4 linked regions of the Caenorhabditis elegans genome follow. The protein of the gene in region 4 interacts with the protein of the main gene of each other region in a pairwise test. Each region holds a gene or a part of one and is shown on either strand. Other genes may lie near its edges.

What was found.
Region 1: the proteins of fzo-1 (region 4) and pkn-1 interact in a two-hybrid assay, tested with the Caenorhabditis elegans proteins (one large-scale study listed by BioGRID).
Region 2: the proteins of fzo-1 (region 4) and pdi-6 interact in a two-hybrid assay, tested with the Caenorhabditis elegans proteins (one large-scale study listed by BioGRID).
Region 3: the proteins of fzo-1 (region 4) and cct-4 interact in a two-hybrid assay, tested with the Caenorhabditis elegans proteins (one large-scale study listed by BioGRID).

The regions. Positions count from the first base shown.
Region 1 is NC_003284.9:10,395,626-10,403,086, reverse strand, and holds pkn-1 (protein kinase C), read right to left. Parts: upstream 5,846-7,461; 5' UTR 5,692-5,845; coding exon 5,213-5,691; intron 4,955-5,212; coding exon 4,662-4,954; intron 4,613-4,661; coding exon 3,690-4,612; intron 3,618-3,689; coding exon 3,398-3,617; intron 3,347-3,397; coding exon 3,245-3,346; intron 2,970-3,244; coding exon 2,827-2,969; intron 2,611-2,826; coding exon 1,839-2,610; intron 1,788-1,838; coding exon 1,594-1,787; intron 1,543-1,593; coding exon 1,396-1,542; intron 1,299-1,395; coding exon 1,158-1,298; 3' UTR 511-1,157; downstream 1-510. Other genes in the region: gur-3 (Gustatory receptor family protein 3), read left to right, coding at 49-123, 169-264, 317-433.
Region 2 is NC_003284.9:7,065,821-7,070,494, forward strand, and holds pdi-6 (Protein disulfide-isomerase A6 homolog), read right to left. Parts: upstream 2,744-4,674; 5' UTR 2,621-2,743; coding exon 2,587-2,620; intron 2,481-2,586; coding exon 2,172-2,480; intron 2,090-2,171; exon of another isoform or gene 1,949-2,089; intron 1,750-1,948; coding exon 1,086-1,749; intron 1,035-1,085; coding exon 719-1,034; 3' UTR 522-718; downstream 1-521. UniProt on the Caenorhabditis elegans protein: May function as a chaperone that inhibits aggregation of misfolded proteins. May negatively regulate the unfolded protein response (UPR) through binding to UPR sensors.
Region 3 is NC_003280.10:8,281,877-8,286,230, reverse strand, and holds cct-4 (T-complex protein 1 subunit delta), read right to left. Parts: upstream 2,565-4,354; 5' UTR 2,564-2,564; coding exon 2,460-2,563; intron 2,414-2,459; coding exon 1,741-2,413; intron 1,692-1,740; coding exon 1,089-1,691; intron 1,040-1,088; coding exon 815-1,039; intron 768-814; coding exon 750-767; 3' UTR 520-749; downstream 1-519. Other genes in the region: nst-1 (Guanine nucleotide-binding protein-like 3 homolog), read left to right, coding at 3,043-3,061, 3,111-3,209, 3,274-4,039, 4,088-4,271, 4,347-4,354. UniProt on the Caenorhabditis elegans protein: Molecular chaperone; assists the folding of proteins upon ATP hydrolysis. Known to play a role, in vitro, in the folding of actin and tubulin.
Region 4 is NC_003280.10:5,832,782-5,838,041, forward strand, and holds fzo-1 (Transmembrane GTPase fzo-1), read right to left. Parts: upstream 3,423-5,260; 5' UTR 3,420-3,422; coding exon 3,347-3,419; intron 3,301-3,346; coding exon 3,175-3,300; intron 3,124-3,174; coding exon 2,906-3,123; intron 2,855-2,905; coding exon 1,747-2,854; intron 1,698-1,746; coding exon 1,586-1,697; intron 1,541-1,585; coding exon 1,070-1,540; intron 1,024-1,069; coding exon 889-1,023; intron 841-888; coding exon 759-840; 3' UTR 547-758; downstream 1-546. Other genes in the region: gtap-1 (Dynein heavy chain 7, axonemal), read right to left, coding at 1-30, 80-183, 230-349, 395-451; ZK1248.15 (WW domain-containing protein), read right to left, coding at 4,107-4,340, 4,384-4,781, 4,831-5,079, 5,128-5,260. UniProt on the Caenorhabditis elegans protein: Probable transmembrane GTPase. Mediates mitochondrial fusion. Fusion of mitochondria occurs in many cell types and constitutes an important step in mitochondria morphology, which is balanced between fusion and fission.

The sequences.
Region 1 (7,461 bases), on a different chromosome or scaffold from region 4:
ATTGATATCCAAACATTAAGTTGTACAAATAAAAATTAATAATTACAGGGCGACAAACTTCTAACCGCTTCTTTCAAAATGTATCACGAAACTCTATGTGAGGAACGTGATCTTCTAGTTTTGGTGTGTTCGTTATCTCAAAAAAAAATCGATCAATTCTACTTTCAGTCTCAAATGAGTTTTCTTTCGTTTCAAATGCATGCTACAAAGCTTACTCTCACCGCCGGGAATTTCTTCATGATGAATCGCAAAATTATGATCAGTGTACGTTTAAAGGCGTGCAGCTGGTTTTTAGTTGATATTTAAAATATTTCAGTTGTTCTCTGCAATTTTCACATATTTTCTTATTTTGGTACAGTTTGATGCTGAAAAGGAGCGAGCCGGAGAATGCAATAATCAATCTCGTGTGCTCATTGTCCAACCACCTGTGTAAATAAAATTGTCTTAACATTTTCCCCATATTGAGCCAACTTCAATTAGTTTCCAATATGTTCATTTGTAACTACGCAATGTATTTGACAAATTGTTTATTCATGTCTCCTAAATACAAGAAAGAAAGTCATTTTCTTTTTTCTTTTTTTCTTACAAAACACAAATAAAAAGTGGCCAGTATATACCAATGGCTGAAAAGAGGGGCTAAATGGATGTAAAATGGGAAGTCTGTTGGACTAAAAAGACAAAAAAAAGAATAAGCGCACTCGTCAAGCGGTCTACAAAAAGTTACAATACAATAATTTGGTGGAAATTTAACAGAATGTGTTAATTTTTGAGGATTACAAAGCGGAAATAGAGACGGGGTAAACTACTTAATGACAAAACACGATGACGTTGAATTAAAAAAACCAATGCAGATGAAAGAATATTTTTTGAAATATTCTAGCAAATAGTAAAAAGAAACACATTTTGGGAAGATTGAGTTGGAGTCTGATCACAGAGCAGTTCACAAGAAATTACAACTATCAGACAGGAGAAATCGTTAAACGAGAATACGAAATTGAAAAATACGGAGAAAAAACTAAAATAGAAAGCGAAATCAAAATTTTTGACAATACTAGTTGACAGTTTAAAAAACAAGACCTTGACAAGTAGAAACAAGAAATGAAATAAATCCCATGGTACAAGTTGATCAATAGAAAACCGGTGACAAATTATGATACTTATGGAACAATGGAGAAGTCGAAATTGTTGAACAAACGCTGATCGGCTTCAGTGATTGGACGAGTGCTCGAAGCAGCAGAAAAACGAGCTTTCTCTTGGGTGAATTCCAGGTCAAAGTTAGACACGTCTTCTGGGTTGCGCTGAAAATTGAATTATAACAATGACTCAATTGCGAAACTGTATGTTGAGAACAGGAAAGAGAATAGTAAATTATTTGAACATTTAACAAAAACTGACAATTTGTGGTTGGAATGGTGGACGAATCTCACGATTCAGCAATTTGTCCCATTCCCATGAGATGTGACGGAAGAATCGTTGAATCTTGATATCTTCAGCGTCTCGCTCTCCGTATCCAAGACGTTTTTCAGGCACCTTGCGAAGGAGCTGAAACAATAAATTTGTAATTCAATGACATCATGCTCGTTTATAACTCACTCTTCTCATAATGGCAATCGACTCAACAGACAAATATCTTGGATAGCGAACGTCTTCGGAGATAATCGAGTCAAATATCTCTTCTTCGTCATCTCCACTGAATGGTGGCTCTCCTACAAGCATTTCGAAAATAAGAACTCCGAGTCCCCACCAGTCAATCGCACGAGTGTATGAAGAATCAGACAAGACTTCAGCTGAAAAAGAACATTCATTAACATTTTTCAATGGATAAATTATAAACTTACGAGCAAGAAACTCTGGAGTTCCACAAAAAGTGCTAGTCTTGTCAAATGGTCCCATGTTCTCTTTACATAGACCAAAATCGGCAATTTTGACATATCCTTCTCTGTCCAAGAGGAGATTGTCCAACTTGATGTCACGGTAGATGATGTTGTGCTTGTGCAAAAAGTCCAGTCCAAGAACGACACATGCAGCATAGAAACATCCACGAACTTCATCAAACACGTCATCGTGAATGTGACGCATTAAGTCACCACCCATACTGTATTCCATGCAGAAGAACACGTGCTCGTTGGTTTGGAAGCAGCCGTTGAGATTCACAAGGAATGGATGACGTGCTCGGGATGATACTTCAAAGATACGCTTCTCAACCATCAGAGACTCAACCTCGTCTCTTCCAAGAATGTCTCCCTTCTTCAGTACCTTGAGGGCGTAGTAGTTGGAAGTTGGATTGTGTTGTGACAAGATGACCTTTCCGAAGTGTCCACGTCCAAGAACACTGATCAATCTGAATTGTTCAACAGTCAGCGGCGCACCATCGCTGCTGGCGAAGAAATCAATGTGGCGAACGGCTGGCACAGGCGGTGCTTGACTTGGACCAGAACGGTCGGTTGGGAACTCATCAACAACCAGGTTACGTTCTTGAGTTGATGGCTGCATAGAATTGGAGGTTGAAGGAGCGTTGAGATTGACTGCTGCAACGGCAGCAGTCATTGGCGCCACTGCAGCTGCTTCTCTGGCCTCACGCTTCTTGGCTGACTTTCTTGGGTTGAAGCTCTGCAAGTTTTAATAATTGAGAGAAATTCACATGACATTTCAAGAATGTTAGCACAACACTCCAAAAACCACTTCAAGAAGAAAACACAGTTCACAAATCGAAAACAAGCGAAATTATCATAAAGGCTATAGAATAAATTTTCACTGACATAATATAAACGATAGCTGGTTATGGGCACGTTGTACAAACACGATTAGAAAACCAAAATTACTCACAGGCAAGTGGTTACTGACCTTGTCGAAGAGCGAGTTCGACGTGGATGGTGTAGGAGTAGAAGCAATTGACGAGGATGTTGATGGGCCAGAAGATGATGTGCCGGGTTGATGTTGAGATGAAGATGAAGGCATTGGAGTAAATCCTGGAATTCGACATTGTTGTTGAAATTGTTACAAGGTAAAAAACAAAAAATGTAAAATGAAATCACTTTCTGATGAAATTTTTAATAGGGAGATCATCCATTTCAAATTTAGTCATGAAAATAATAACAACTATAGTGGCTTATTTTAAAAAACTGCGCTTTTTAAGCTCCGTAAATATCTATTTATACAAGTAAATCTAAAATCAGCAAGTCACTGCTTCATGCATGACTGAGCCTATGCAAAAAGGGAATGTGAACTCTTGGTGATGACATACCAGTGAAAGCAGCAAACTTCTCGCTTGGCTCATTTCCTCTGTTCTTGATGAGACGCGAGAACGCGAAGACGCCAAGTTTCTGACGGGCTCCATCATTCGATTCTGAAAAAGATTATAGTTGACATAGGACATTATGCAATGCTATTCAATCACCTTTCACGCGGAACAAACGTCTCTGACGTTCGAGTTTTGGCTTGCGGCTCACCACTGGGTTCATGTATTTGAATTGAACAAAAATGTTTCCTTGTGGCTCAACAGGTACAATAATTCCAACCTTGGACGACGTCTCAATAAGATTAGACAGCTTAACTGCAGCAAATCCACACATGGAACGGTCATCGTGGTAGAAGAGTTCAATTTGAAGTTCGCGAGACTGAAAGAATTTAATTTTTACTCAGGTATGTACTATTGATATGTATTTCAATTTCACTATCTGTGAACTTACACGATCCAAATCAACATCAAACTTCTGATCCCAATTACGATCAACAATCTTTCTCAACTCTGTAGCTCCAATGAAACGATTGTCAATACGAAGAACACAGAAGACTTCCTCTGAACTGTTTGGACCTCTTGCAGATTTCTTCTTCTTTCCAGACGCATCCATTCCGTAGACTGAAATGAAACCAGGAACTCCGGGAACATCTTTGCGGATTTTCCGCTCGAAGACCTCGCTGAGAATACCAGCGCAGCCGTTGATAGTGACTTCAAGACATCCACTGATTTGCAGAGAATATGGCATGAAACTGCAACGGCGAGATGTAGAAGTTCCGTTTCCACCATCTTCGCTGGATGGACTGTTACGATCCTGGCTGAGAGAAGGTGGTTTTGGGATGAGTCCACTGTTAATCTCTCCAATAAGATATTTTCTGTGATCGTGTTCAAGTGGAAGACTGGATGCATACTTCAGCAAGGCCAACTTGATGAGATCGGCTTTCTCCGAAGCAATAACATAGCTGTTCATGGCCTCATCGACAGCTTTGCTATCTGGCTTCCTTTTTGAGCGGAGAATACGGATCATGTTTCGGGAACCATCCATGATGAGCTTCTCCTTGTGAAAACGAATGATGAGATCATCGATGGCAAGCTCAACTTTAGTTTTTGGCTCTCCTTCAACCGCTGGTGCTTCTTGTGAAAGACGTTCAATTTGCATACGGAGCATTGCAATCTTGGCGCGACTATCGTCAAGAAGACTCTGTGAGTCACCATGCACTTTTGACTTGTCTGGAGCTCCACGCAAAAATTGCTCAAGTCCTCGTTTCACTTTCAACTCTTTTTCCAATTCAAGCTGGAGAATAACAAGCTTACTTGGTGGTCCATTCTCCACATCACAATCCTCAAGGTTATCCAAATACATCACATCCTCATCTGAAAGATAAATTTTGAAACGAAATGTTTTATTTGCTGCATGTCTTACCAAAAGCTCCACTGTTGTACATCTCCAACGCCTGAAGATCTTCCTGAAGATCCGCAATTTGCTCGTTTAAATCAGACAATTCATAACGAAGAAATTCGCTTTGACGACGATCCGAAGTGATCAGCTTGATACGACTATATCCACTCTTGATCTTCAGTTTTTTGGTCAAATCCTTCCGAATCACAGATCGAAGTTCAAGAGCTTCTTGCTGGATGCTGCTACCTTCGTTGATAGTGAAGTTGTACTTATCTGCCAATTCAACCATTTCAGCAGGAGCTGTCTCCCAATAAGTGCTGAAAATGATATTTTACAAAAATTTTAATAACAAGAGTTGTACAGACATTCAGTTTTTTCCTTCAAATAAAGTTCGAATGTTAGTTTTTTGAAAGTAGTGAGAGCATTAAAAAAGGCGGTGGCATGCATGAGACTACAAAATTTCAGCTCCAAAAACAGAGGTGCGGTGAAAAAGTTCAAGCTGTTACAGAGGGAAAGAATCATGCCGTAGTTTGAAAATTATCAGACATCCACACCCAAAAAGCAAAAAGCAAAACCTTTTCGAGCGTTTCAAAACATCCAGACTTCTCGGTGGTGACTCTGTGCATGTGATCATTTTGAGGATTGGTCCATTGAACGATTCTTGAGGATAGTAGGCGTTCAAACTTGACGAAGGGCTTTCGAAACGGTAGTATCCAGTATTTGACGAGGTGGAAAATGTAGAAAACAATGGGCGAATCTTTTTACGACTAGCACGAAGCACACCACGAGTGAATGATAAGACAGGCGAGTTGTTACATGCAGAGGTTAGCGAGGAGATAACTGATTTTGGGGTGGAAGTTGTTGCAGAGCCACTGGCTCCAAAGTTTGAACCTAACGGCTTAACAACGTTACGATGAGCACTCAAAGCGTACCTATTTCCTTCTCCGTTACTATGACCATTTCCAGAGTGAGTTGGAGTGGACGGTCCATCCGCCGAATGACGACTTGAACCATTCATCCCATTGATTCCATTCCCGTTGGAATGGTAGTCCATAGTTCTTTCTTTGGCGTCCAAAGAGGGACGTAAACAACAAAAGGATGGAAACGTTCAGTTGTTGGTGAGTAGATTTGCTAGATATTGATTCAAAAGCGATTGAGCACGTTTTGCACCGATCACGTTAGTCCAAGTTGATGGCAAGCAGGTACCCTGAAATTATGAAATTATGAACAAGAATTGGATTCAAGTACAAAGGGAATAAGAAAGAACTGTGATGAGAATCAAGTCACAAAATACAAAATCAAAAAACCAAGTGAAAAAAACGTCTAAAACCACAATTGTACATGCTCTTTGTTGGTGCATAATTCCTTTTCTGTCAGTTTTGACAGCAACAGAGCACCAGATTCCCCCAACAAGCAGGATGATTGGTGGATGCCCTTGATGCGACAGATCCCAAGGGGATCCGATGCGGGGCATGGAAAACGAGCTTAAGCTGCCAATAGGCCTCAGAATGGCTTGTACCAAGAATAGTGTGTGGTATTTGTCAGTGTTTGTGTGACGCCGTAGGGTTTTTGGCGCCAACACGAGACTAGAAGAATACAGAGGAAAATGGAGAACAAAATATATAGAGGAGATAGCCTTCCCTTGTGATACTTGGGGGGGGGGGTGCTGGTGGACGGACGAGAAGGGGAGACGAGCAAATGAGTGTGCTCGCTAACACAAATACAGTGAAGGGAGAGAGCGATCGATGGTAGTTACGAGTGGGAAGTGAGAGGAGGACAGGCAAGGAACACATATTTGCAAACTTTTGTGTATACTAATATGCTTGGATGACAGAAAAACGAAACGGGAGCACGACTAGGAAATATTTCGAATTAAGAACAAAATATAATATATTTGTAACAAAAACATCTGTCAGCGTGGTTCATGTTTTTCTCGAACATTTGGGACACGTTCTCTAGCACAGGGAACAGGTGGCTGGTTTCGTTTTGGAATTGAAAGCAACAAAAATAAGGTCTCTGAATCATCGGCCGATGCTTTGGTGTCGAAAACCAACACACATCAGCTGGTTAGTTTGATTTTCTTGTCGACAAGTGAGGTTTTTCTCTTTCTTACAAATGGAATTTATATGAGATCTAGTGAGGACACATGGTTTATGAAAAACGCTGGCAGTAGTCCCAGAAGCAGAAATGATGTAGTGCCACGTGATGTTCTGCTCGTGCCGTAATTCATTGAGCCACAAACCAAGAGAGATTTGAACAAGAAGTACATGATGATCAACTCTAATGATCAGGATGATGTTAATAAAGACATTATATGTGAAGGAAAAACATTTTGTTTCTAAGAAAGGAAATAGTCCCATGAGCCCGTGGCGTAATTGGGAGGTTAGCATACGATGACGTTATGCGGCCCTGTACGCGCACCATTGTCGGCCCCGGGCAGTCCTTTTTCCGTATGCGAGTGCGAGGGCGCACTGTCTCTCCGTTTCTGCGTTTCCTCAAATTGAATGCACCCTAACGTGCAACACACAACGGCGGTGGAAGAATGGTGTAGAAAAGGACAGTGCATGCACAGGAGGAATTGTCTACACTTCTGAACTCTCCGCCTTGCCTTCTCCCTCGTCTTTACCTCGTTTGCCTCATTTCTGCGACAATCACTTCAGGACACACTGTTTGAATGAGAGAAAAGAGGGAGAAGAAATAATCAAATCGCCGGACGGAAACCGTTTCCCAAGATATAAAACAGCCTCTGGCGGTCTGACGGGTGGACGGGTGGGTCGACAGACGGGACGGATTGAGGTGAAGTCTAGCGCGGGACTTGCTTTTT
Region 2 (4,674 bases), on a different chromosome or scaffold from region 4:
TATTGAAAACGTCTTGTTTGAAAAAGAATCTGTAAAATATTCTGAAACAATCAACATTTCGGAAATTTATTTTAAAAAATCGCAAACAACTCTTTTGAATATGAATATGAAAATGAAAATGAATATGAATTATGAATATGAACTAGGAGCACGTAACCTTGAAAAAGCTCAGAACAAATGGTGTGGTTGAATGTGAACATAAACCAGAAAAAAAAACAATCTAAACATATCAGTTCATAACTTTGTTTCTTGACTAATAGTGGTGAAAATCACCAAATTTTACTTATTTGATCTGACCAGCACAAGTTTTCTGCTTCTTTGGTTTTGTATCCCTTTGTGCCCGAGTAATTGAATTGGTAACGTTTGAATTATTAAGTTGCTCTAGCAGCTGAAAGTTATTAAAAATATATCTTACATCGATATTAAATATTTCTCAACCCTTAGTTCCGTATTGAAAAAGAAAATCAAGAATTTGAAAACCTTCAACCGAAGATTTTTGATTTTCACTTTTAATAATCCATAGCTTCCTGAAATACTTTATTTAACAAAACAGAGAACAAAAATAAATAAATACGAGAAAAATCGCTAAAGTCACAAAACATGTATGGATGTAACGCAGTTAGACGAGTTATCTGGTGAGAACACCCGTTACAATTAAAACAAAATTGCATGGTGAGAGTAAGTTTTTGGTGTCGATGTATGTAGAAAATTCATGATTTTAAAGCTCGGTCTTATCGAGGTCAATGTCAGACAAGTCGATGTCGTCTTCAGCTGGAAGGGCTCCGTCCTTTCCGTCCCACTTCTCAGTCTTCTGAATCTTTGGGAATCCATCTCCTCGAAGGGAAGAAGTGCGTCCCTTTCCATACGAGAGATCACGGAGGAACTCGTGGATTCCATCTTTTCCGAAGGATCCCTTGAGCACGGCGTACTTGTTCTTGCGGAAGTTCAAAGCAGTCATGGCTGGATATCCAAAACCTCCAACTTCGAAGGACTCCTCAAGAGCTGGCTGAGCGGCTCCTTCAACCCAAATCCATCTGAAATTATTTAAATTAGAATGAAATTTTGTAAAATTATATAAAACATACCCCCAAAGGTTCTTCTTGAATTTCTCGGATTGCTCCTTGAGCATAGCCAAATAATTGTTTCTGCACTCCGATTGGCAGTCAAGAATGTGTGGGAGGAAGGCAAAAATGCAAAGCTGTTTCTCCTTGCATGCATCCTCTACGACTTGTTGGTTGATTCCTTCAAAGACCTCTGGAGCTGGCATGTTTTCTTGAGCACGAGCTGAAGCCCAGGCAACGATGTCAGAAGATTGACGTCCTCCATCGTAGTCTTGAGCGTCAGAAACATCAGATCCTGGAGCGAAATACTTGATGGTTGGGAATCCACGAATGGCGAACTTGTTGGCGACGACAGTATGAACAGTGGCGTCGAGAGCTCCGAGACGAACTTTGCCCTTGAGTTCAGAAGCGGCGGCCTTCCATTGTGGCTCAAGGCTTTTGCAGTGTCCGCACCATGGGGCAAAGAACTCGACAAGCCAGATATCCTTGCTGTTGAGAACGAGATCCTCGAAGTTGGCATCAGTAAGTTCAACAACTTCATTTCCAGATCCACCTCCTCCACGCTTTCCAGATCCAGATCCGGATCCACTGCTGCTGCTTCCTGATGATTTTCCTCCAAGCCGAGCAGAGACTGCCTTTTTGGCTTCAGCGAGAACCGAGTCAGCGATTGCCTGAGCAGTTCTTTGTCCTGCAAAAATAAATCAATATCATCTTGGTCTTTTTACACACATACACAGACACACGCACGCTCTAAATGACCCAGATCGCTCAGAGGCCGGCGTCTCTCCTATCTTCCACCCTATAGACTGGTACGCACAATTACTTTGCCGCAAGGTCGTCCACATCTATAGAGCGGATCGGCCAAACATAATATCTGAGCAAACAGTTACTAAACACACAACTAGTTGCGGCCAGCTCAATTGACTGACCGACAGTGCACACAGAAAATAGTTCGAGTGGGGAGAGGGTGGAAATGAGACAAATCAGTTTTTGTTTGCCGTACCGGCTTGTGACTATTGTCCTTTTTCAGTTATTTTTGTGCAAGTTTGTCGACAACCAATCCAAATTTCCGCTTGTAAATTATTAAGAAGAAATTGGATAATTGCTTACCGTTGTAGTCTGTTGGCTTCTTCTTGTCGGCTCCGAAGATCTTGAGAGTTGGGAATCCTTGAACATTGTATGGTCCTCCGACGGATTGATGTTGAGTCATATCAACGGCTCCAACCTTGGCGACTCCCTTGAGTGCTGAAGCAGCTTTCTTGTATTCTGGGACCAGACTCTTGCAGTGACCGCACCATGGAGCATAGAACTCAACAATCCAAATATCATCAGAGTTGATAACCTTTGATTGGAAATTGGCCTCGGTCAGCTCGACGACATCATCCTTTTTTGAGTACATTCCACATACCGAAGTTATCGCTGCAAAATTTTAATTAATTTAATATTAGTTTTGTATAAAATTCTTTTTTCCTAATCAAAAACACCAAATGAAGAATACTTCACATTTTCTAAAACAAAAACTTACCCAAAGATGCGAGGAGCAACTTGATGAGAGCCATGACGATCCACTAATCTCACTGGTTTGTCTGTGAGACCGTACAGAATGGGGAGCGATTCCAAACTGAGTCAAATGCGTGTACAGAGGGCGGGAGTGTGACGTTGCGCGTCGTGTGTGTGCAGTTGATTGGTCAACGTGTCGTACAGTAGAGCGCTTTGCGCAAATAGTTCTCGCCACGGCCCCGGCACAGGCATTAAATGGAGAGTTGCGAAATGCAATGAGAAAACTATGAGGGTTAGGGAAGACGTTTTAAAAAGAAAAATTTAATAAAAAAAATGTTTTTTTAACAGAATCTATTAATTTATCGAAATAACTGAAAACATTTCGATGATTACACGACAAAATAAAATTCCTCAGTGTTTGTTCTTTCTTGTTTTCAAAAATATTTTTACATCTAACATTTATAAATTGTTTATCTTGAAATAAACTTGTAACACTCTCAATGCCAAAAATAGTTATTTGGAATAAAGGTGTTAATTGAAGATTTCCAACAAAATAATCTTGCGATACGGTCAGTGGACCGTTCTTATTCCTTGTCTACATTAATTACCTACTGGAACTGTTCCCCACGGATGTTTTTGTATACGCATTTGCCGACGATATCAAGATACTCGGTGAAAATTCGGACTCTATGCAAAAAGCGATCAATGTCGTCACTGATTGGTGTGCAAAGTGAAACTTAAACTTGGCCGAGAACAAAACCAATGTCATACACCTCGGGAAGCGCAACCCAAGAACAGATTATCATGCGAATGGAATACAAATAATTAAAAAGTATTCAGTCAACGATCTAGACATTTTCGTGGATTGCAAGCTAAACTTCCAAAAACATATCGAATATGTATCAAATTCTGCTTTCCTCAAGTGTAGACAGCTTCTTCGATGCTTTCGCTTTACCAATGTCAGTTTGTACTTTAAGTTATACAACGTTTACGTTCAACCGCTGCTGAATTACGGATGTGAGGTCTACAACCCTAACTCCAAACGTCTGATAAAGCTACTTGAAATGCCGCTGAAATTCTATTCAAGAAGAGTGTATCAACGATGCAATGTCTCAAACACGTCGTACGATGATCGACTGGCTCAGTCAAATCAAAAATCCATTCAACACCAGCGAATTCTCCAAATATTAAGGACCTACCACAACATCTTATCTGGCGAATACCATTTTCCGGATGTCTCAGCACTAAAGAATTCCTCGGCAATTCCCGACAGCTTCTTCCCCAAGTTTGGGCCTTTTCAGCTTCTTACCCAACTCTTGCCAACTTCTAACCCAGAGTATGCCCAAGTCTTACCCAACTTCAGCAATTCTAGTGTAAACTCCCTCGCCCGAGTTCTGCCCAAGCCTTAGCCAAGTTTTGCCAACTTCTTACCCAAGTTTGCAGATGTAAAGAACGAACAAGATTCCGAAATTCCACATGCGCAATGTTTAGCGTAAATCGACACTTTGTCTTTTGATTAATTTGTATTTACAATAGAGGAATTTCAATGTAATTGAAAGAATTCACAGGAAAACTTGTCCCTTCAAAGGCAAATTCTAAATATTTTTCTTTGATGGCTAACATTGTTAAAGAAAATGTACGAACAGAGTCTGATTTTTATTGCCATTTTATCTAATAAACCATATAATTTATCTAAAAATAAAAAGAAAAGTTATCTTCAGGAAGATTCTTCTCCTAGTCAGTCCAATAGTCAGATAATAGTCAGTCAATCCTATGCATCAAATTTTGAATTTTTCTAAGACTGAACTGTTCCTTTGAAATGTAAACTTTTATAAAATTAAGAGACATGAAACAAACACGAATTACAGTAATTCTCTAAATTCTGAACTTAGAATCATTAGGGAGCACACTTGAAAACAACTGAAACAAGGTATGTGAGAATACCGTATCAATCAGATATGTCTGGTACTTCCTCAAAAATATCTATCAGAATATGAGTACGATATATTATTACTAGTGTGCATCTTTTTGCGCGACCATCATGGCTCAGCAGGTAAGACTTCGGCACAACGGGAAATGAGATCAAAGTTCAACACACAGGTATAAATTGGGT
Region 3 (4,354 bases), 2.4 Mb from region 4:
AAAGTTTCAGCTATTAAAATGCTCGGAAATATATATATACCAGCCGTGGACCGCACCTACGGCGCGGCCCCCGACTTTTTTGAGAAAACACATTAGATATACGGTGTCTATCGCGGACCTCGATCGATGTCTGCTGCGCATTTAGCATAAGGTTTCCCAAAATTTCGTTGCTCTGATCAGAGATCAAACTACATAGGGACAGAAGGACACGCGCTTTATATATAGTAAATGATGATATATATATATATTTTTTTTAATTTATTTAAATATCTTGAAATTTACCTTTAAAGCATCAAAAACGGGCTCTCCTCCGGGCAGCGGGGCAAAAAGAAATAACTTTTAATTGATCGGCTTTCGAAATTTGATTGCCACGTGCACTGGGTTCACGTGAACACGTTTTTAATTAAAACAAAACTTTATCAAAACTTCAAGGTGTGCCTTTCAACTGAAGTTATTTACCAACTGTTACGTCTGTTCAACATGTCTCAACATTCTACACTTTGTATTTCAAAATTAAAACGGTTGAAGGCATTTCTTTATCAAAACTGAAAACAGAAAAAAACGGGATAGGATGCAAACGGAAAAGCAGCAAAACATTTACGGGTATTAAACACACATGATGGGCAATTAAAACTTGACATCATCTTAAGAGACCTTATTGGGATGAAGCAAAACCATAAAGTAACAATTTTCGTCAGGCGGTAGAGCAGGAAGTATTATGAACTGTCTTTGTCAATCGTAGGTATTGATTAGCGGACAGCCATGACCTGTAACAGAAGGTTGTAGAAAAGAAATAAGTTGTGAATAAACTTACAATGTCATCAATCTTGAGAATTGATCGAACACATTCCGATGCTTGCTTGATAGCTGATGCTGTAACAAGAAGTGGCTGCACAACATCTTCTTCAACCATATCTGTGACATATCCCTTGCGTACGTTTACTCCATAGGAACTGTTTCCATTAGCATGGTTGTTTCTCAACTCCGTAACAGTGTGAATTGGTGACAATCCTGCGTTTTCGGCAAGTGTGTATGGAATCTGTATAACGTAACCATCATTGGTTTTAATTACTTTCAATGTAACTTACGAGCTCAAGTGCATCAGCAAATGCTCTCCAGCAGTATTGCGTAGCTCCGTGTTGGGTTTGTGCCAGATTTCGGAGTTTTACAGCGATTTCCATCTCTGGAGCTCCACCTCCTGGCAACAAAGCCTTCTTCTTAACCAGGCATCGAATCACACAAAGAGCATCGTGGATAGATCTGTCAGCCTCCTCAAGCACCAACTTGTTTGATCCACGAAGAAGAATAGAGACAGCATGTCCTGGATTTTGAACACCAGTCACCTTGATGACCTTTCCATCTCCTCCAGTTGGAATCTCTTCCACAAGATCAGCATATCCGAGTGCATCAGCATTAAAATGATCGACAGAGGCAACTGGTCGGCAACCGAGAATTCTTGAATAAAACTCGATATCCTCTCTTTCAATATCTTTGATGCACATGATCTTCATTTTGGCGAGGAAATGCAAGGCGAGTTCGTTGACAGCATCTCTAAGAATACTCTTTTGAATCAGAAGAACATTACAACCAGCAGCTTTAATCTGCTTGCAAATTTCTAGCAAGTATTGACGTTCTTCCTTCAAAGCACGATCCATTTGAGCATAATCAGTGATAATAACTTGATTTTCCATCTGAAATTTGAATGCGAATTTAAAAAATTAATTTCTTCAATCAACTCACGTCAGTTTTTGGGGGGCTAATCTGGAATTGAATGAGTCCAATCTTGGCTTTCTCAATTCTTGTTGGAGCACCACGTCCCATGGTTTTCTGATCAATGAGAGCTCCTTCGATGAGTTCGGATTCTTCAACCGTGTCTCCCATTTTCTTGATGATCTTGATCATTTTCAGGTTGACATTGGAATCGTTCTCTGAATTGATGATCTTCTTGACAGCATTAACTGCCATAGGTGCGAGCAACCATGAGTGTTGAGAAACAACCTTCGAGTTCAACGATGTTGTAGCCATCTTGTTGAGCAGAGCGTCATTTGACAAATCGACTGGTGAACTCATTTCGTCAAGAATCTTTTCAGCTTCGGCAGCAGCACTTTGGAAAGATTCAGAAATGGTAGTTGGATGAATACCTTTAGAAAGCAGGTTCTGAGCAGCATCAAGAAGAGCTCCAGCCATAACAACGACAGTAGTTGTTCCATCTCCAGCTTCGATATCTTGAGCTTTTGAAAGTTCGACGAGCATCTTAGCAGTTGGATGAATGACACTCATTTGGTTCAAGATGGTAGCCCCGTCATTGGTGATGGTAACATCCCCATTCCCGGACTGAATCATTTTGTCCATTCCTCTTGGACCCAAGGATGTACGGACGGCATCAGCAACAGCTTTTGCAGCAACGATGTTACTGAAAATGAACTAGTGATTTAAAAACAAAAAGGAACAAAGCTCACCTATTGCGAACACTCTCTGGCTTGTCCTTATCCTTGAAATTGCGCTCGCGACCGGAAGCCGATTGTCGGGCTGTTGCAGCTGCGGCTGGAACTGCTGGTGGCATCTGCAAATTAAATTATGATGTTGAAGTCAGACTCTCAGAAGAAATGAATAAAACAACTTTACGGATAGAGGGAATAATATTTTAAAACTTAATTCTAATGTTATTTTCGAACTTTTATTACATTAATTTTGATGAAAATATAGAAACAAATAATAATTCTTCTAGAAATTCTATAGCTTTTAAATTTAACGTTCAGTTTTCAAGCGGGAGCCAGAAAGATCTGTGGAAATACTGGTTTCGTGGCGAGACCCACTTGAGTTCACCAACGTGCCTCCCTTTAATTTATACTCGCATTCTTTTTATTTTCTGGCCTTGCTTGTCGATTTTCTTTCACATGTTATGTTTTGCTTTCGAAAAACGTTTTAAATAAATAATATAAACATTTAATTATATAAAATATATTACGATTTCTTGTTTCTCTTCCTCTTTCTTGTCGAAAAATCAATTTGTCTTTTTAAGAAACCAACAGTCAGCAGAGAATGGCGAAATACTGTCTGAGTAAGTTGATATACATTTGTAACAATATTATAAAATACCTCTTTTACAGAAAAAACCAGTAAGCGAGTCAGCTGCGCCAAGCGCTACAAAATTGAGAAGAAAGTTCGCGACCATAACAGAAAAGTGAAGAAGGAGGCTAAAAAGAATGGTAAGTAAAGTTTTAAAGAATGCAAATAAGGCTATTGAAATAATGGGAAAATTTTTTATTACAGGAACCACTAATAAAAAAGAAAAGACTATCAGTGTTCCGAATTCATGTCCTTTCAAAGAAGAAATTCTGGTCCAAGCAGAGCAGGAGCGCGAGAAGATAAAAGTTCGTCAGGAAGCTGCTAAAGAAGCTGCAAAAATTCATCGCATCGAAAAGAGAAAAAATAATTTGCCAGCCAATTTTGAAAGTATGGTCGCAAAAGCATCGAAACAAGGAACCGAATTTGATAAGAAAGTTGCCAGTGCTGCAGAACATGAGAAGTTCAACACCTTGGATGACAAAACAATCAAGGCTTATGCCAGTGAAGTTAGGAAGACTGTCGAGATTGCTGATGTTATTATCCAAGTACTTGACGCCAGAGATCCGCTCGGCAGTCGTAGCAAGTCTGTAGAGGATCAGGTCTTAAAAGGTGGAAAGCGATTGGTTCTTCTTCTTAACAAAATCGATTTGGTGCCCCGTGAGAACGTTCAGAAGTGGCTCGAGTATCTTCGCGGTCAATTCCCGACAATTGCTTTCAAGGCTTCAACACAAGAGCAAAAGTCGAATATTGGCCGTTTCAACAGCGCTATTTTGAACAACACTGAGACCTCGAAATGCGTCGGTGCCGACATTGTGATGAAAATTCTTGCTAATTACTGTAGAAACAAAGACATTAAAACTAGCATTCGCGTCGGAGTTGTTGGCTTCCCAAATGTCGGTAAAAGCAGTGTGATCAACAGTTTGAAGAGAAGAAAGGCATGCAACGTAGGAAATCTGCCAGGAATCACCAAGTAAGTTAAATTCAGTTGTTTTTCTAAGCTTATCAAATTTATTTTCAGAGAAATTCAAGAAGTTGAGTTGGACAAAAATATCCGTCTTATTGATTCCCCGGGAGTCATTCTCGTCAGTCAAAAGGATTTGGATCCAATTGAGGTTGCTCTTAAAAATGCTATTCGCGTCGACAATTTGCTTGATCCAATTGCTCCAGTTCACGCAATCCTTCGTCGTTGCAGCAAGGAAACTGTAAGTTTAAAACAATAATAATCGTCAAAAGCCTTGATTAAATTTTTTGAATTATTCAAACTGGTCTCTTTTCAGATTATGCT
Region 4 (5,260 bases):
CGTTGTTGAGTGAGCAAATAACTGTCTGTTCTCAAAATAAAATGATTAATATTCGTTTTTGAAAATCCGAATTTCTTACCCATTTCTTTGATGTTCCATACTCTTTCTGTACTCTTGACATCGTTTTACATTGCTATCATGAAACTTTTTTATTTGATGATTCTTACGAGATGAGTTGAACTTCTAAAAAAAAACAGTTTATAAAAAGTTTTCGTTCATCTTCAATTACCTGTAGAACAGCTGGAAACGGATCTCTAGGTGTCGTGAGACATACTGCAGAATCAGCACGTGAGATGTCTCCGCTTCCTCCTTCGTCACGATCTTCTAGACAAGAATTGTAGAACATTGTCTGAAATTTGTTCTAACTATTTCTATATTTGGTTCCCTACAGTACCTCCTGCGTGCATTGATCGAATTCCACAGAAATTCCAACATCGTCGTCTTCATTCATACCTGAATTATATTTTCCTATTTTCAAATACCACAACACATAAATAGAAATTCTGATGAATATAAATACAGATAATTGAATATCTTCTCAAAAATCAAACGACAAAAATTTATTCGAATTATTATTCGTCTCATAGAAGTATCATAATCAAAACACTAAAACTACTGAAATTGTCTAGAAATAACGAGAAAACAGCTCATCAAAATATCTACATTGAACCGATTACCAATCGTTCGAATTAAAAGCTATAGGACTGAGTGAATAAGGGGAAAAGCACCAAAATTAGTTAAATTCAGACTAGTCATTTTCATGGCGTTGGCGGAGAGTCCGATCGGAGATAAGAAGATGCAAATTGTTCGAGATTTCGGAGAAGAAACACTGCTTTTCCTCTGAAAATTAATTTTATTAATTCTTGACACAGATCTAAGAGGACATACTTGATTGTTCCCAATGTTCGAATTGTTGAATCAACTGCATCAATTTGTGTCTTCTGTACATCCAAATCGTTTTTCATTTCTCTATGGACTCCACCAACAGTTGCTTTCAATCCGTCAAAGACTTGGTCCATTTCTCTGAAAACAACAAATTGAATTGAAAACTATACGGTTTAAAAAATACCTGATAGCTTGTGTTTCACAGTGATGAGTATGAGCTGTTGAAACTTGTTGCATTCGAGCAGCTAAATGTGATCTGAACTGTTCTTTCAAATGTTGTTCCTTGGCTCCCGAATTCCAGCGCATTCGTTCCCATGCATATAGTCCAGCGTAGGCCGCTCCTCCGACAGCAATTACTCTCCAACCAACAGCCTTATACACAATACCACCAACAACTAGCACTCCAAGACTTCCGTTTGCTAAAAATGCGGCTGATGTCAAAACCATTTGAGTCATCATTGCCTGTTCTTCGGAAGCTGCAGAAGCTTCTGCATCTCTCACTGAATTCTTTTCGGATTGTTGTTTTAGTGATAATGGAGTAAGCAAATTGGTGTTGATTGCAGTGACAGGTTGGCCGCTTCGATACGCAATGATGCGACGAATTATTGCGTGTAGACCAAATGTGAATCGGAACTCGAGGTCTTCATGGAAATCACTGAAAAATGTAAGAATGAAACACAAAAAATCCATCGAAACTCACTTGACAAGAGCAGGGACATCGACACAAATGCTAAATTTGAAAGGAGCACGATATCGCCACACTTCTTCAAGCTTATTCTGATAAGGTTCGGCGAGGATTTTTGTCACATATTCTGGAAAAAAAATTTTTTATAACACATCAGTTCCCAGATAAACACTTACGGAACATATCATTCTCCAAATTCCAAATTCTTGACATTAGGCCACCGGTACATCTAGCTTCCAAATCACTGCTCAAACATTTGTCCACAAAGATTGCCAAATCCTCTTTATACTTTGTCATTCCGGAAGAGCTTCCATCGAAAGGTTGTTCAAATCGATCAATTATTGCATCAAGTCGTGCTATTTCTTCAAAGAAATCAGCAGAAACTTTCAGATGAACTTCGGCTCGCAGTTGCTCTGTCTGCTCACGGTAAGCTTTTTCAAATTGAGTGAAGTTTACACGGCATTCATTGAAAGTCCTGGTGGATTCGTTTAGATTATTCTGAAGCTTGCTTCTCTGCTCAGCTGCAGAGGTTAGCACGCTATTCAGATTGAGCCGCATTTTTCCGATCATTTCATGAGCTCTCCTGTTATGAGCTTCGAATTTCGTGTGAATCGCCGATCGAGAGATACAATGCTCAAAATGTCGTTCGAAATTTTGGAATTCCAAGGCTCTTGTGCCATGACCTTCTGCTTGATAGGCTTTTTGTACCAGTCCCCTAGCTTTTAATCGTGATTCCAAAACTTCTCTCGATGAAACAAAGAAGATTCGATCATTGACTTCTCTTTCTGAGCACACTTCAAGCTCATCGACCAAAAACTGACGGAATCTCGTCAAATGCTGCTTTTTTACATCTTCGATGTTTTCTGTTTCTGCTGCACTGGCGTCCCATCGATTATTGAGAATAAATACGTTGGGCTTGCTAAGCTTCTTCGCGACTCGAAGGAAGAAGTTCTTTTCGGCTTGTGTCAATGTTGATTCCGCATTTGATACAAGCACAAATACATCTGCATCTAAACAATGTTTGTCAATCCAGCTATCGAATTCTGGAGAAAGATCGACACCAGGGCTATCAAGTATGACGACGTCGTTTTGAAGAAGTCGGCATTCCCCTGATTCCGATTTCTTTGGATGAAACACTTTCAAAAGAGAATCCTGTCCCATTGCCGGAAGATCTGAATTTTCGTCACTCAGTGCGTGTCCAATTTTTCCAAGCATTTTCATATCAATCTTTTGGGGATTATCATCTAATTGTAGATGGCCAACTTCGCCTTCTGAACCTTCAACCTGGAAATTTCAAAAATTTACAATAAAATATGAAAAAAAAGTGATTCTCACCTGCAGAAAGCAACATGTTGTATGTCCCATTCCCTGGGGCAACACTTTCTCATGAAGCATCGCATTGATAGTTGTACTCTTTCCGTTGCTGGTTCTTCCGAAAAATACAACCTTCATGTTATCTCTTTGAAATGTGTCCATTATAGTTTTGATTGAATCGCCAATTGCTTCGATTTCTTCCCGCTGTTCAGAACTAACAAAGTCGTTCTCTTTAATATCTGGAACTTTTGTGGGTTTATATTTGCGGCGAAGTAAAAAACAGAAAATACCTTTGTAAACACCTTCTAGTTCAGCCACATTGTCTTTCAGTTCTCCATAGACATCCCCAAGAACCTTTTTAGCTTCTCGAAATCGAAGAAGTGGTTCATTATCGGCAGCACGACGCGAATTTTTCACTGAAAAGTTTATTGCATTGTTTTTTGAAAGGTTGAATAAACATACAGCTGTGAAGTCCACGATGATTAGAATCACCACTGGCCGGCAGAGTATGAACTAAGCTTGCTGTGCCAGACATTACCTGAAAACTTAAATATATTTAAAGTCTCATAAATCAGCCGGAAATTCGATTCGAGGATTACGAAATCGCTTAAAAGTCTAGAAAACATTAAATCTTATTTGAAATATCGAAAAGGTTATACAAACATCAAATTATTCATTGGAATAATAAAAAAAAATGAAAAGGAACACTCGAATTATCAGAGAATTTCCATTTCTGTCTCCGTCGCGAGCAAAAAAAGAATGTTCACTGGAGCGCGCTCTCTGTACACAAAAGAATCGATTATCGGGAGACAACGATTTGTGAGAAAAATTAGTTGTCTATCGAACTATTTTTGATTAAGAAAAGTTACTGTGCTTTAAATTGCCGTTTTAAACATTAAAAGATATAAATAAACTTTATGAAAGCAGTTTGTAGAAAATTTGTGAATAATGCTTGCTGCAAATTTTTTAATCAGCAAGCCCCCGTTCTTGAAATTCTGCAGTGTCTCTTCTTAAACTTCTGATTGCTTTTTGGATTTATATATTTAGAAAGCAAAAACAATCGAAACATTTCTATTGATTTAGCGGTATTCTATTAAGTTTGAAGTAAAAAAAAACATAAAAAACATTTATTCACTAAATAATTCACTAAAGTACACCGTACATGCAATGAGACCGGATGCAGGAATGCAGAAAAATCATAATTATAAATAGGAAACAATATTCAGGAACAATCCATATTGTCGTTGAAGGTACATTCGTCATCCGAAAGGCTTAACGGAATTTTTGGGCGATTACTATTTGGCTTGGTCGTCTTGACTACGTTTCCATTTTGAGATGATTGATATGTTGATGAGGGATATGTCTTTCTTGGTTTAAATGATTCCGAGTTTGAGGAAGACGGTTGAAGAGTGATCTCGTCTGCTAGTGGGATCGATGGTCGAGATTTTCTGGGAGCCTGAAAACATATTTTAATTTACAAAATAATAATTTTTTGTTACCTCTACTTTGTTTTCTTTAACAAAACCAGCATTGCGACCAGCATCTTTTTTGGCTAAGTCGTTGATCCAACTTTCCAATTCGCGATGTTTCTTTACACTTTTAACAGCTTCGTTCCTTTTGTATTTTATGTCGTTGCTAGTGTATTTGTTAGAATGAGAATTAGCATGATGTTCTTTCCTAGTAGTTTGTCTTCTATCAGAATTCGAAGACTTCCTTGAACTATTTAGTTGATCCGAATCCGTTTGTTGTTTCTTCCGACCATGAATGGTGTCCATGAATGATTTAACTGTCTCAACGTGCAGATCATGAGTCAGTGCTTTGTTTGAAAGATTCACATCCTCGGTGACGAGTATAATAGCACGATCATTGAGGTTCATTGTAGATGGAATTGACATTACTGAAAATTGTGGTATATTCTCGAATCTTAATTTAAGAAAAAAACTTACTTTCTCTTTTTATTCGCAATGCAGTTCTTAGAATCAAATCATCTACAACAGTTGTGTTTGCACTGAAGCCGTTTATCTGAATCTGTTGCTCTGTGCTCGTCTCGACATGCAAGTACTGATTCTTCTCTTCCAGAAGATCTTTTATACTATTATTTGCACAATTAGCTACAATTCGAGTGTGTCCTGATCCGTTTTTAAGACCATCTAGCTCAGATAATGTAAAATATGGAATGACTGTGAGAATTTGTTCTGAAAATAATAGAAATTTCAATAATAATATCATTCTCTATATTTTACTTTCGATGGAAGCATTGAGAACATCAGGATTTCCCAGAAGAGCACAGGTATCGAATATGGCACACGCACGATAATGCAAATCTTTGAATGGTCGAACTTCAGAAGACCATGGAACACGTGGTAGCATTTTATT